Linked DNA regions of Macaca fascicularis. The protein of the gene in region 3 interacts with the protein of the main gene of each other region in a biochemical or structural test. Links are inferred from orthologs where the notes say so. Each region holds a gene or a part of one and is shown on either strand. Other genes may lie near its edges.

Region 1 (3,649 bases), on a different chromosome or scaffold from region 3:
TCTCTCATATTTTTTTCTCGCTACCTAACAACAACAAAAAAAAGCTGCTTATTATCTCAAAACTTGAGTATGATTTCCCTTAAAAATAAAGGTAAATATCAGTTCCCAAATACTTAGTTTACTTAAGACTCATTAAATCATTAGACTTTATGCCAAATATAGATTAGTCTACTACAGCCATCAAAATTGTCTCAATTATAATTCCCACTAGATTAAAAATAAATGTACTAAGTATGGAAACAAGTTTCTTATCTTTTAATACTTCAAGTTAGAATAGTACACCTAAGTAGTTCTAAAGTGGTTGCCACCTTGTTACCTTTAAAAGATATCTGCTTTCTGCCAAAATTAATGTGCTGAACTTAAACTTACCAGATTACATTATAATGCATTTTTTAATTTTCACACAGCCAGGAGTCTTTTCTTCTTTGCTGATTTTTTTCAATCTGTATTGTCGGATCTCTCTCACCAATGTATAAAAAGCATCCTCCACTCTCTGCATTGTAAAACACAACTTCTTTAAAGTCTGTTTCATTGGTAAGAGTAATTTACTGGGACAGCCATGTGCAAGAAGTTTGAGATTATGAGCTTGAGATTTTTTTTTTTTTTAAACAGACATCAGACTGTTTGAATAAAACTGAGGATGCAGTTTTAAAATATGGGCTAGAATCCTGGTTTGTTCTTAAAAGTCAGTTTTGTTTTCTAATGGAATTAAATGTAAAAATTTTTAAATTAGGAATTAGGAGAGATTATGACAAGCCTAAACACATTTATTAGCATCTGTTTGTCAATTAATGCAACCATTTTAGTTTGCTAGTCTTGGAATTAAAGACTAAACTGAAGTTAGCTTTAAATTACTTCTTTGACTTAGGGAAAAGGTGATTTATGTACTACTGATTCCCACACCTTCCCCCAGGGGAGAATGAGAAGAAAAATGGTAAAATATGGACGTGCAACCTTTGTTAAAAAAACAACAAAAACATAAAAGAATATCAAAATAAAGATGAGTCAAGAAACTGGAATCTTGAGTTTTATTTTAAATTTTAACACCTTCCAATCTATTTCCAGGGTCTACAAGTAAAGCTGAGACTGGGTCTTCTGTACATGTTTAACTACATTATTAAATTAAAATCTTAAATGAGAGCTGCTTACCATAATATAAAAACATCATGAATTAAAGGACACACACAAAATAGGAGCATTTTGTATCGTTACTACAAGCTCTTTTTTTGTTGTTATTTATTTTGTTTTGTTTTAGAGACAGGGTCTCACTGTGTTGCCAGGATGGAGTGCAATGGCACGATCATGACTGCAGCCTCGACCTCCCAGGCTAGGTGATCCTCCTGCCTCAGCCTCTCAAATAGCTGGGACTACAGGCAAGCACTACCACACCCGACTGATTTTTGTATTTTTTGTAGAGACAGGGTTTTGCCATGTTGCCGGGGCTGGTCTCAAACTCCTGAGCTCAAGTGATCCGCCCACCTTGGCTTCCAAAGGGCTGGGATTACAGCCATGAGCCACCAAACCTGGCCTTACTACAAGTCTTAAAAATAATTTTTAGAACAGTGTTCAATCATACTGGCTTTGTACCTTCTATTCTAATTTAAATACTTTTAATAGAGTTTTTCCTGCTTAAGCCTATGATAAGAAAGCTATGACAACAGGCACAATCATATACTGGCCATATGGAGATAAAAGTTTTTAATCCTTTCCAATCTAGAAAATTAGGCAGTCATCAAAGGGGAAAAGGACTTCCTTAATTGTGCTGCTAGTTTGTTCAGAAAAGCATACCATCAAAGTAGGAGCACAGAGAAATGCACAGAAATATTAATCTATATGTAGTGCAAATTAAAAGATGTAATATTGTGTTTATTATTCTAAAAGGTAGGTAAATATTTTTTGAAGCTGGTATATTTTACTCCACATTTAATTTTAAGGGAATTCTATTCTTTTATCTTAAAATTAAGAATGAATTACCTAATTTGGGGATTGGCATACATATTTTAACTTTCTGAGATCCGTAACATCAATGTTTCTACTGAACCAAATGTAACAAAGTGGACCTAGCACCTAAAAAGTTAATATATCACAAGTACCATCTGTAGTTTTAAACTCAATCACACACAGATAATTGGCAACTAAGTATTAGCTGAAGTCAACCAATGGCCAGGGCTTAATTTTTGCACACAGAAGTCATCTGTACATCTGCTGCCGGCAGTAGTTACACACCTCAATTCTTTAAGGCATACTAATTTTTAGAAATCTCAGAAGCGTATTAAGAACTGCTTTAGTAAAGTACAGAAATTTACCTCTAAAGTCAAACTTTAATTTAAAATTCATAATGTTAAGTTTCAGTTCAAAAAGCAGGCATTTAAGTAACGTGATTATATATTAAAATGCGTATCTCAAGTCATTAACATATACCATCCAGTGATATATTTCTATTTAATAATGAAAATCATTATATTCTAAGAACATTCTTATTTTTAATGGAATCAATTTAGTCAACTAGTTCGCTAAGCCAAGTATAAATACAAATTTTCAACTACCTTTGTTGGCACTTTAAATTAGATACCTACTTACACCTGTATATTAAAGATTTTAAGTGTCAGGTGTGGTGACTCATGCTTTAGTACCAGCATTTTGAGAGGGCAAGAGATGCCAGGAGTTTGAGACCTCATCTCTACTAATAAATTAGGCATGTTGGCATGAGCCTGAAGTCCCAGCTACTCAAAAGGCTGAGGCAGGAGGGTTGCTTGGGCCCGGGAGTTTGAGGCTTCAGTGAGCTATGACTGAACCATTGCACTTCAGTCTGAGCAACAGAACAAGATGCTGTCTCTAAAAAAAATTTTTTTAATCGTTTTACAGTTTATATTTATCATTAACCCTCAAAAGGAAAGGGTTTATTATTTTTACCTTTGTCTTCAAAATATTATGTATCCAAAATTTTCATTAATAAGCGACATAAAGGCACTGAAATAACTTTGTAGCATGTAAAATGTAAAGCATGAGCTCTGTAAGATATTTTCACAAATGATTCTCTTTCAATTTGAAAATCAATGTAAAAAAATTAAAAATACGTATATACATATACACACACAAACCAGGTAAAAGCTCATATTTTCATAAATTTTCTAAGAATGTTAACTTCTATTCCTGTTTAAAAAAAAAAAAGTTATAAGGTCAATGTAGAAGAACCAAAACATACTATGAAGGAGAAAAACAGTATTGGTCCTCTACTAATTTAGCAGAAGCAAATTTTGATTTTAACTTATTTCTAAAATCAGTTTGAATGTGTCTACTTTTGCAGCGTCAGCATCCCCACCACCAATAGTGAAATACATGATTTTTGTTTCCAGCAATGCAGAGAGAGAATTGGAAGCCAATAATTAAAAAGAAGAGATTATTATCCACAACCAAGAATTCAGTGTCAGGACCTCAGTGGTTCATATAATTAACAGCACAGGGTGACTTCTTCCATTTCTTATTTTTAGTAATGAGAAATTTAGGTTTTAGAGTATCAGTTATTTACCACAGTTTTTCAGACTTAGTTATTTCTTCATAATATGCTTTAAAGTCATACTGACATCAAGAGAACATGAGAACATTATCCTTGTGTACACTGTAAACCACTGGCACTGGCTCTTATTTT
Region 2 (3,010 bases), on a different chromosome or scaffold from region 3:
CTGCCAACCTCGTCCACTCCAGGAGGCAGGGATGGCCAGGCTCCCACGCCCTAGTGGCCGCCACCCGACCACCAATAAGGCAGAGGCCTGAGGCCAGTCGGTGCTGGAGCCCTAATTCCAAGGTCCACAGACTGCTCCAGGCCAGAGAGATGAAGAAAACTGGGTATGTGAAGGCCCAGGAGGCAGAGTCCCTATGTCTGCCATTCTTGGCAGGTGCATTTCACCATGGGAAAAAGTCAGGAAAAGCGACGCCTCTCACTGCCAAGGCGGCTCCCAGGTAGAGACCAGAGCCGCCGGCACAGATCCCCAACCCCTGAAATCACCTCCCTCTGGAGAACCGTGATGCCCTCCTAGTTGGTAGCAGCGCAGTAAGCTCTCCTTATGATCTGCCTGCTTGTCCAGAGCTCTCTGCCGGAATCCATGGACACTCTGGGGCAGGCAGGAGGAGACAGCAGCACAGCCCAGACCCCTGACCAGCCTCTCCCAACCTCCCCCTCCCAAAGGCTGTGGAGAGCCCAAGGCTGGACAGGCCCGAGGTTCCGACATACCTCACGCCAGGCCACACGTGCACCGTGTCCCACCCTCAGCCAAAATCCAAGGTCAAGACCATCCAATAATTTACTGCGATCCCATCTGCGCCTGACAAGGGCCCACAGAGGCCTGGGAGGGGAGCTAAGGGCTGGGGTTCTGGTAGCATCTGGGATGCTCAAGACAGTCTGTGCAAAGCATCCCTGGGAGGGTCTGCGGTCACTTCGGCCCATGGTCCCTGGGTGGCTGGGCTCCAGCAGCCCTTCCTTCCTTCCTTGCTTCCGTCCGTCCTTCCTCCTCCTTCCTTCCGTCTGCACCTCCTCCCTGCATCCGGCACCTCCATGTCCTGAGCTTGTGCTGGGCGGGGCACAAAAGAGGCTGCTGATCGCAGGCGAGGAGACCGGCAGGGGTGGGGAGCCCGGGGTCATCCGGTGGGCGTGGCGGCCGCCCTGGGAGCCCCCTCACCTGCGTCAGGAGAGCACACACTTGCAGCTCATGCAGCCGGGGCCACTCTCATCAGGAGGGTTCAGCTTCCGCAGCTTATGCTGCCGAATCTCACGCACCAATGTGTAAAAGGCATCCTCTACTCCCTGGAAAAGGAGAAATGGGATCAGGAGGGACAGGCCTGTGGCCCCCTGCCTAGGTGAGGGGTTCCCTGCTGTGCGATCAAGCCGTGCCTGGCCCAAGGCTCCCGACTCCACCAGCCACTTCCCCAGGCCCACCACACACACAGGAAGCTGGGCTCTGGTCATCTCGAAGAGCCCAGGGCCACCTGCACCACGCTACAGCAGCCCCTCAAAGGTCAGGGTGGCCCAGGACCCTCCTGAACTCCAGATCTGGCCAGGGTTTGACCACCCTGCACCCAGCTCTCATCTGAGCTATGGCCAGTGTCCCCAGCAGCCTCACTAAGACTCAGAACCAACAGGTGCCCGTGGGACACTCTGGGGACAAGAGGGGCTGGGCCCCAGGGTCACCGCTCCGGCCTGGCTCAGGGCAGCTCTCCCCAAGGACCTCCGCCTTCCCCGGAGCTGTGTCGGCCCAGGACTGCAGGGCGTGAGCCCAGACCCCGGCCCTTGCCTCCCTCACTGCCCTGCCGTCCCGGGAGACTTACAGCGCGAGGGGCCGCTGGGTCACATGGGTCCCGGGGGGTCCCAGAGGGTCCCGGAGCTGGAGCCAGAGCCAGAGCGGCTGCCCTGTGTCAAGGGAGAGGGGTGAGTGAGTGCTGCTCCCTGGCTGGGGCGGGGCGGGGCGAGTCCCTGGCTAGCTGTGGGCTGGAGAGCTGCCTCACCTGTCGCGTCTTGGCCGAGGTCTCAATGTAGGGGATACCATAGCTTCGGGCGAGGTCCTGAGCCTGCCGAGACTCCACGGTGCGTGCAGCCAGGTCACACTTGTTCCCCACCAGCACCATGGGCACGTCGTCTGAGTCCTTCACCCGCTTGATCTGCTCCCTGGGAGGAAAAGTGAGAGCTGGCTATAGGGGCTGCAGGCACGACTGCATCCAGGACATGCACAGAGAGGACAGGAGGCCCCTGTCTGGGCACAGCCGGCCTGACCCCACTTGTGCCTCATGGGCTCCCGGGCCAGCCTCAAGGGGTTCACCTGTACTGGTGGATGTCCTCAAAGGACTTGGTGTTGTTGATGGCAAACACACACAGGAAGCCTTCCCCCGTGCGCATGTACTGGTCCCGCATGGCGCTGTACTCCTCTTGGCCGGCTGTGTCCAGGATGTCCAACAGGCACGTCTCCCCATCAATGACCACCTGTTTCCGGTAGGAGTCCTGCAGGAGGACAGAGCTCAGGGACCCCTCAGGACCCTCCATGCGGGGAGTTCACAATGCCAGCCTCTCCCTGTACCTCTCATGCCCCTCTCATGCCCCCTCATGCCCCTCTCATGCCCCCTCTCCTGGGGTGCTGAGACGAGGGGCTCCCCTTCTCTGGAGGAAGCAGGAGACAGGCCCAGAGCACCATGCAGGGCCAGGGGCCGCAGCCACCCCTATCCTGGCTGTGTCCTGGGCTCGCCCACAGCAGCTGCCGGGACCTGGACGGCGGCGCCAGGCTCACCTCTATCGTGGGGTCGTATTCGTCCACGAAGTGGTTCTGGATCAGCTGGATGGTCAGCGCACTCTTGCCCACACCGCCGGCGCCCACCACCACGAGCTTATATTCCGTCATTGCTCCTCAGGGGCCTGCGGCCCGGGGTCCTACAGGGTCTCCTGCCCCACCTGCCAAGGATGGTCCTGCTCAGCCAGGCCCAGGCCCCACAGGGCAGCTGCTGGCAGAGCCATCTGAAGAGCAAACCCATAGCGGGCCCTGGGTCCCAACGCCAGGCAGCAAGGACTGCAGCGTGCCTACCTGTGCAGCTGCAAACCAGCGCGGGGGAGGGCTGTCGCCTCGCCCCCACTTGCTGTTAAGGACCCAGTGAGGGGAAAAGGGAGCCAGCCTCCAAAGGCAGGGCTGACAGCTGAGCGCTCTCAACCAAATT
Region 3 (3,649 bases):
GTCCCCTCTTTTGCTAAGTTAGTTGAAGACTTCAGAACAGATCCTGGCCTGGCAGGGCTATGCCATCTGGCTCCTTGCTAAGCCCCGGGCCCTCGACAGGTTCCCTCGTCCTGGGGCACCCTGCCCATCCTCCCACGCATCCGTGGCCTCCAGGGAAGCTCCCAAGTCCCTTCCCAAACCCTCTGTACCTGCAGCTCACACTCCTTGTGCCCTCTCCTGCAGCCTCATTGCAGGGTCAAGGGCTGGCCAGCAGCCAGGGGCAGCATGGGCCAGACCTCTGGGGACCTGCAGGCCCCTCTGGTCTTCTGCCATCATTTGAGATCTATGCAGGGCACGTTTGTTACTGGTGGCACTGACCAAGCCATTCACGGGGAAGGGGATGTCCTTCATAGTCAGAGGGAGGCCTAGTCAGGGGCCTCTTTGCCAGGCCCTATCTTGCTAAACTGTAGCCATATCCTGGGGACCTGCACATCCCTGCTCCAGGCTGGAACCTCCTGCTGTTTGCAGAGCTCAGAAGGATGGTTACTATGGCCACCAGGTGCAGGGGGCGTCCTTCACATTCAAGGATTCGGGGGCGCTGACTATCTTCCCTCCACCCCACTGGCCAGAGTACTCACGTCTTGTCCTTGAATTCAAACTGGAAGAGGTTGTTGGTTATCTTGGCTCCGCTTTGCCCGGAGAACACAAACATCTTGTCCCGGCACACGGCCACGGGAAAGTTGCAGCAAGACGGGGGGATCTCGCCACTCTGGGCCACCTGCATGGGGGAGAGAACAGCTCAGCCCTGGCCTCCCAGGGCCCACTCACATTTCACCACGCTCAAGACTGCTGAGATGGGACTGCTTTTATTCTTGAAACTTCCCCAGATGAGGGTTCACAGATTCATTTGTCTTCGAGCAGCACATAGCCCTGTCTCCTCCACTTCAGGGGGCCCAGTTGTGAACAGCTAGGGCTAAAATCGTCAGGGTTAAATCAGCAGCGGCTAAACCCATATGTTTTTCATGCCCAGAAGACTGAGAAAAAAAAAATTTTTTTTAATGAATAAATAAATAAATTCCATGTTTCTAAAGGGGAAAGCAATCCCAGGGGGAGTTTCAGGGAGCAGAACACTAGATAGCAGACTGCCCTCACTGCATTGAAATAAAGGGTGGATTAAAGCAAAACCACATCCCTCACACACATGGCGCTCTGCCCATCTAAAACACCAAGGCTCGAATCACTGCGCAGCCACAGTGAGGAACTGGTCATGAAGGCCTGCGGGTCACCAGGGAGGAGAGCGAGGCTCAGGTCAAGGCTGGGCTTTGCAAGGGGAAGAAAGCAGCCTCGACCCCCAGCCTGGCTCTGCCTGCCTCCCACCTCCCTCCACCTGCACCCTGGCTCCCTGCGCCCCTCACCTCCTCCACCTGCACCCTGGCTCCCTGCGCCCCTCACCTCCTCCACCTGCACCCTGGCTCCCTGCGCCCCTCACCTCCTCCACCTGCACCCTGGCTCCCTGCGCCCCTCACCTCCTCCACCTGCACCCTGGCTCCCTGCGCCCCTCACCTCCTCCACCTGCACCCTGGCTCCCTGCGCCCCTCACCTCCTCCACCTGCACCCTGGCTCCCTGCGCCCCTCACCTCCTCCACCTGCACCCTGGCTCCCTGCGCCCCTCACCTCCTCCACCTGCACCCTGGCTCCCTGCGCCCCTCACCTCCTCCACCTGCACCCTGGCTCCCTGCGCCCCTCACCTCCTCCACCTGCACCCTGGCTCCGTGCGCCCCTCACCTCCTCCACCTGCACCCTGGCTCCCTGCGCCCCTCACCTCCTCCACCTGCACCCTGGCTCCCTGCGCCCCTCACCTCCTCCACCTGCACCCTGGCTCCCTGCGCCCCTCACCTCCTCCACCTGCACCCTGGCTCCCTGCGCCCCTCACCTCCTCCACCTGCACCCTGGCTCCCTGCGCCCCTCACCTCCTCCACCTGCACCCTGGCTCCCGGTGCCCCTCACCTCCTCCCAGCAGGTGAGCTCTCGGTCCTGGAGGCCAATTGTCCACATGTCATTCAACCTGTATTAGGACAGACCAGTGAGGACCCCTTGGGTCTGGCTGTCAGGGTGGGCCAGTCCTGGCTGGAAGGGATGGCTGAAGGGAGGACCCCCACCCCCACACAGGGTAGGGGACTTGTGCGGCCAGGAGGCGGGAACTTCTGTGTGGGGTGGCAGGCACTGCCTCAAATCCCTGCCATGCTGGGCCCCCTGCCCGGCCCAGACAGAACAAGTACTCTCATGCATGACATTGGGGCAGTGTGGCAGGCCAGCTGTGTCCCTCCTGGGTAGGGAGAGGACACAGATATCACAGACACCACCATCATCACTGCATTGTTAGGAGTTTCTATGATGCTGAAGTTTTGGGAAACCAGCACATGCTACTTTTGTAATCACAAAAAGAGAGCAAAGCCAACTTTCTAAAATAAGGAGGAAAAGGCCTTTGGCCTGGGCAAGAACCAGGGCTGGGCCTGAGCCTGGGCACCGCCCATCCGCCCACCGACTCAGCCCTGCACGGCGACTCCTGGCTGAGGATCCTCACCCGAGCAACTGAGGTAGCCATGGGGCTCCACCCAGTGGTCCTCACCTCCATCTGCCCATCCTCCTCTTTCCCTGTCCCCCTCCCAAGAAACCCCTGGACAGTGACACTCAAAATCTACTAGGCAGAGCTCTTCCAGCCTAAGCCCTCAAATGCCAGGATGGCCTCCTCCGGTCTCTGTGCAGTCGGAGGTGGGGTGCAAAGGCCGGACCACCACCCACCTGGCATTGCCGTCATAGCCAGCAAAGATCCACAGCTTGTCACTGTACACCGTGGCCCCGTGGGCCGACCTAGCGACTGGCAACCTGAAGTGTGAGGGAAGAGGGGAGGGAGTGAGGCCGCCCAGCACAGACCTGAGCCTCGCAGTCCCATACGGTCAGTGCAGGGGCCACAGCCAGGCTGCATGGCCACATCCGCCCGACGCTGGGGCTTCAGGGCCTCCACAAGGCACTAGGAATAAGCAACAGCCTCAGAGGCCGACTGGAGGCTTGAAGAGGAATTCAGACAGCCACAGAGGCACAGAACCTTCTCCCAGGTGCCACCAAAATATCAAAGGGGGTACTCAAAAAGCAGGACCCCAGAAGCGCCATCAGCAGTACATTGGGTCTTTTTTGTTTTTTTGAGACGGAGTCTCGCTCTGTCACCCAGGCTGGAGTGCAGTGGCCGGATCTCAGCTCACTGCAAGCTCCGCCTCCCGGGTTTACGCCATTCTCCTGCCTCAGCCTCCCGAGTAGCTGGGACTACAGGCGCCCGCCACCTCGCCCGGCTAATTTTTTGTATTTTTTAGTAGAGACGGGGTTTCACCGTGTTAGCCAGGATGGTCTCCATCTCCTGACCTCGTGATCCACCCGTCTCGGCCTCCCAAAGTGCTGGGATTACAGGCTTGAGCCACCGCGCCCAGCCCATTGGGTCTTTTTAAAAAATTTGTTTGTGACAAGGTCTTGCTCCATCTTCCAGGCTGGAGTGCAGTGAGGCATGCATGGTTCACTGTAGCCTTGAACTCCTGGGCTCAAGTGATCTTCCCGCTTCAGCTTCTCAAAGTGCTAGGACTACAGGCGTGCGCCACCACGCCCGGCCCATTTGGGTCTC

What was found.
Region 1: the proteins of LZTR1 (region 3) and KRAS form a complex in vitro, tested with the Homo sapiens proteins (2 studies listed by BioGRID, with this or other methods). The link is inferred for Macaca fascicularis from reciprocal best matches to the Homo sapiens genes LZTR1 and KRAS.
Region 2: of the proteins of LZTR1 (region 3) and HRAS, one has a biochemical effect on the other in vitro, tested with the Homo sapiens proteins (3 studies listed by BioGRID, with this or other methods). The link is inferred for Macaca fascicularis from reciprocal best matches to the Homo sapiens genes LZTR1 and HRAS.

Annotation. Positions count from the first base shown.
Region 1 is NC_088385.1:27,937,412-27,941,060, forward strand, and holds part of KRAS (GTPase KRas), read right to left. Parts: intron 494-3,649; coding exon 378-493; coding exon of another isoform or gene 374-377; exon of another isoform or gene 370-373; intron 1-369. UniProt on the Homo sapiens protein: Ras proteins bind GDP/GTP and possess intrinsic GTPase activity. Plays an important role in the regulation of cell proliferation.
Region 2 is NC_088388.1:430,339-433,348, forward strand, and holds the end of HRAS (GTPase HRas), read right to left. Parts: intron 2,751-3,010; 5' UTR 2,701-2,750; coding exon 2,590-2,700; intron 2,307-2,589; coding exon 2,128-2,306; intron 1,977-2,127; coding exon 1,817-1,976; intron 1,722-1,816; exon of another isoform or gene 1,640-1,721; intron 1,119-1,639; coding exon 999-1,118; 3' UTR 994-998; intron 886-993; 3' UTR 601-885; downstream 1-600. UniProt on the Homo sapiens protein: Involved in the activation of Ras protein signal transduction. Ras proteins bind GDP/GTP and possess intrinsic GTPase activity.
Region 3 is NC_088384.1:31,973,045-31,976,693, reverse strand, and holds part of LZTR1 (leucine-zipper-like transcriptional regulator 1), read right to left. Parts: intron 2,866-3,649; coding exon 2,782-2,865; intron 2,045-2,781; coding exon 1,987-2,044; intron 758-1,986; coding exon 618-757; intron 1-617. UniProt on the Homo sapiens protein: Substrate-specific adapter of a BCR (BTB-CUL3-RBX1) E3 ubiquitin-protein ligase complex that mediates ubiquitination of Ras (K-Ras/KRAS, N-Ras/NRAS and H-Ras/HRAS).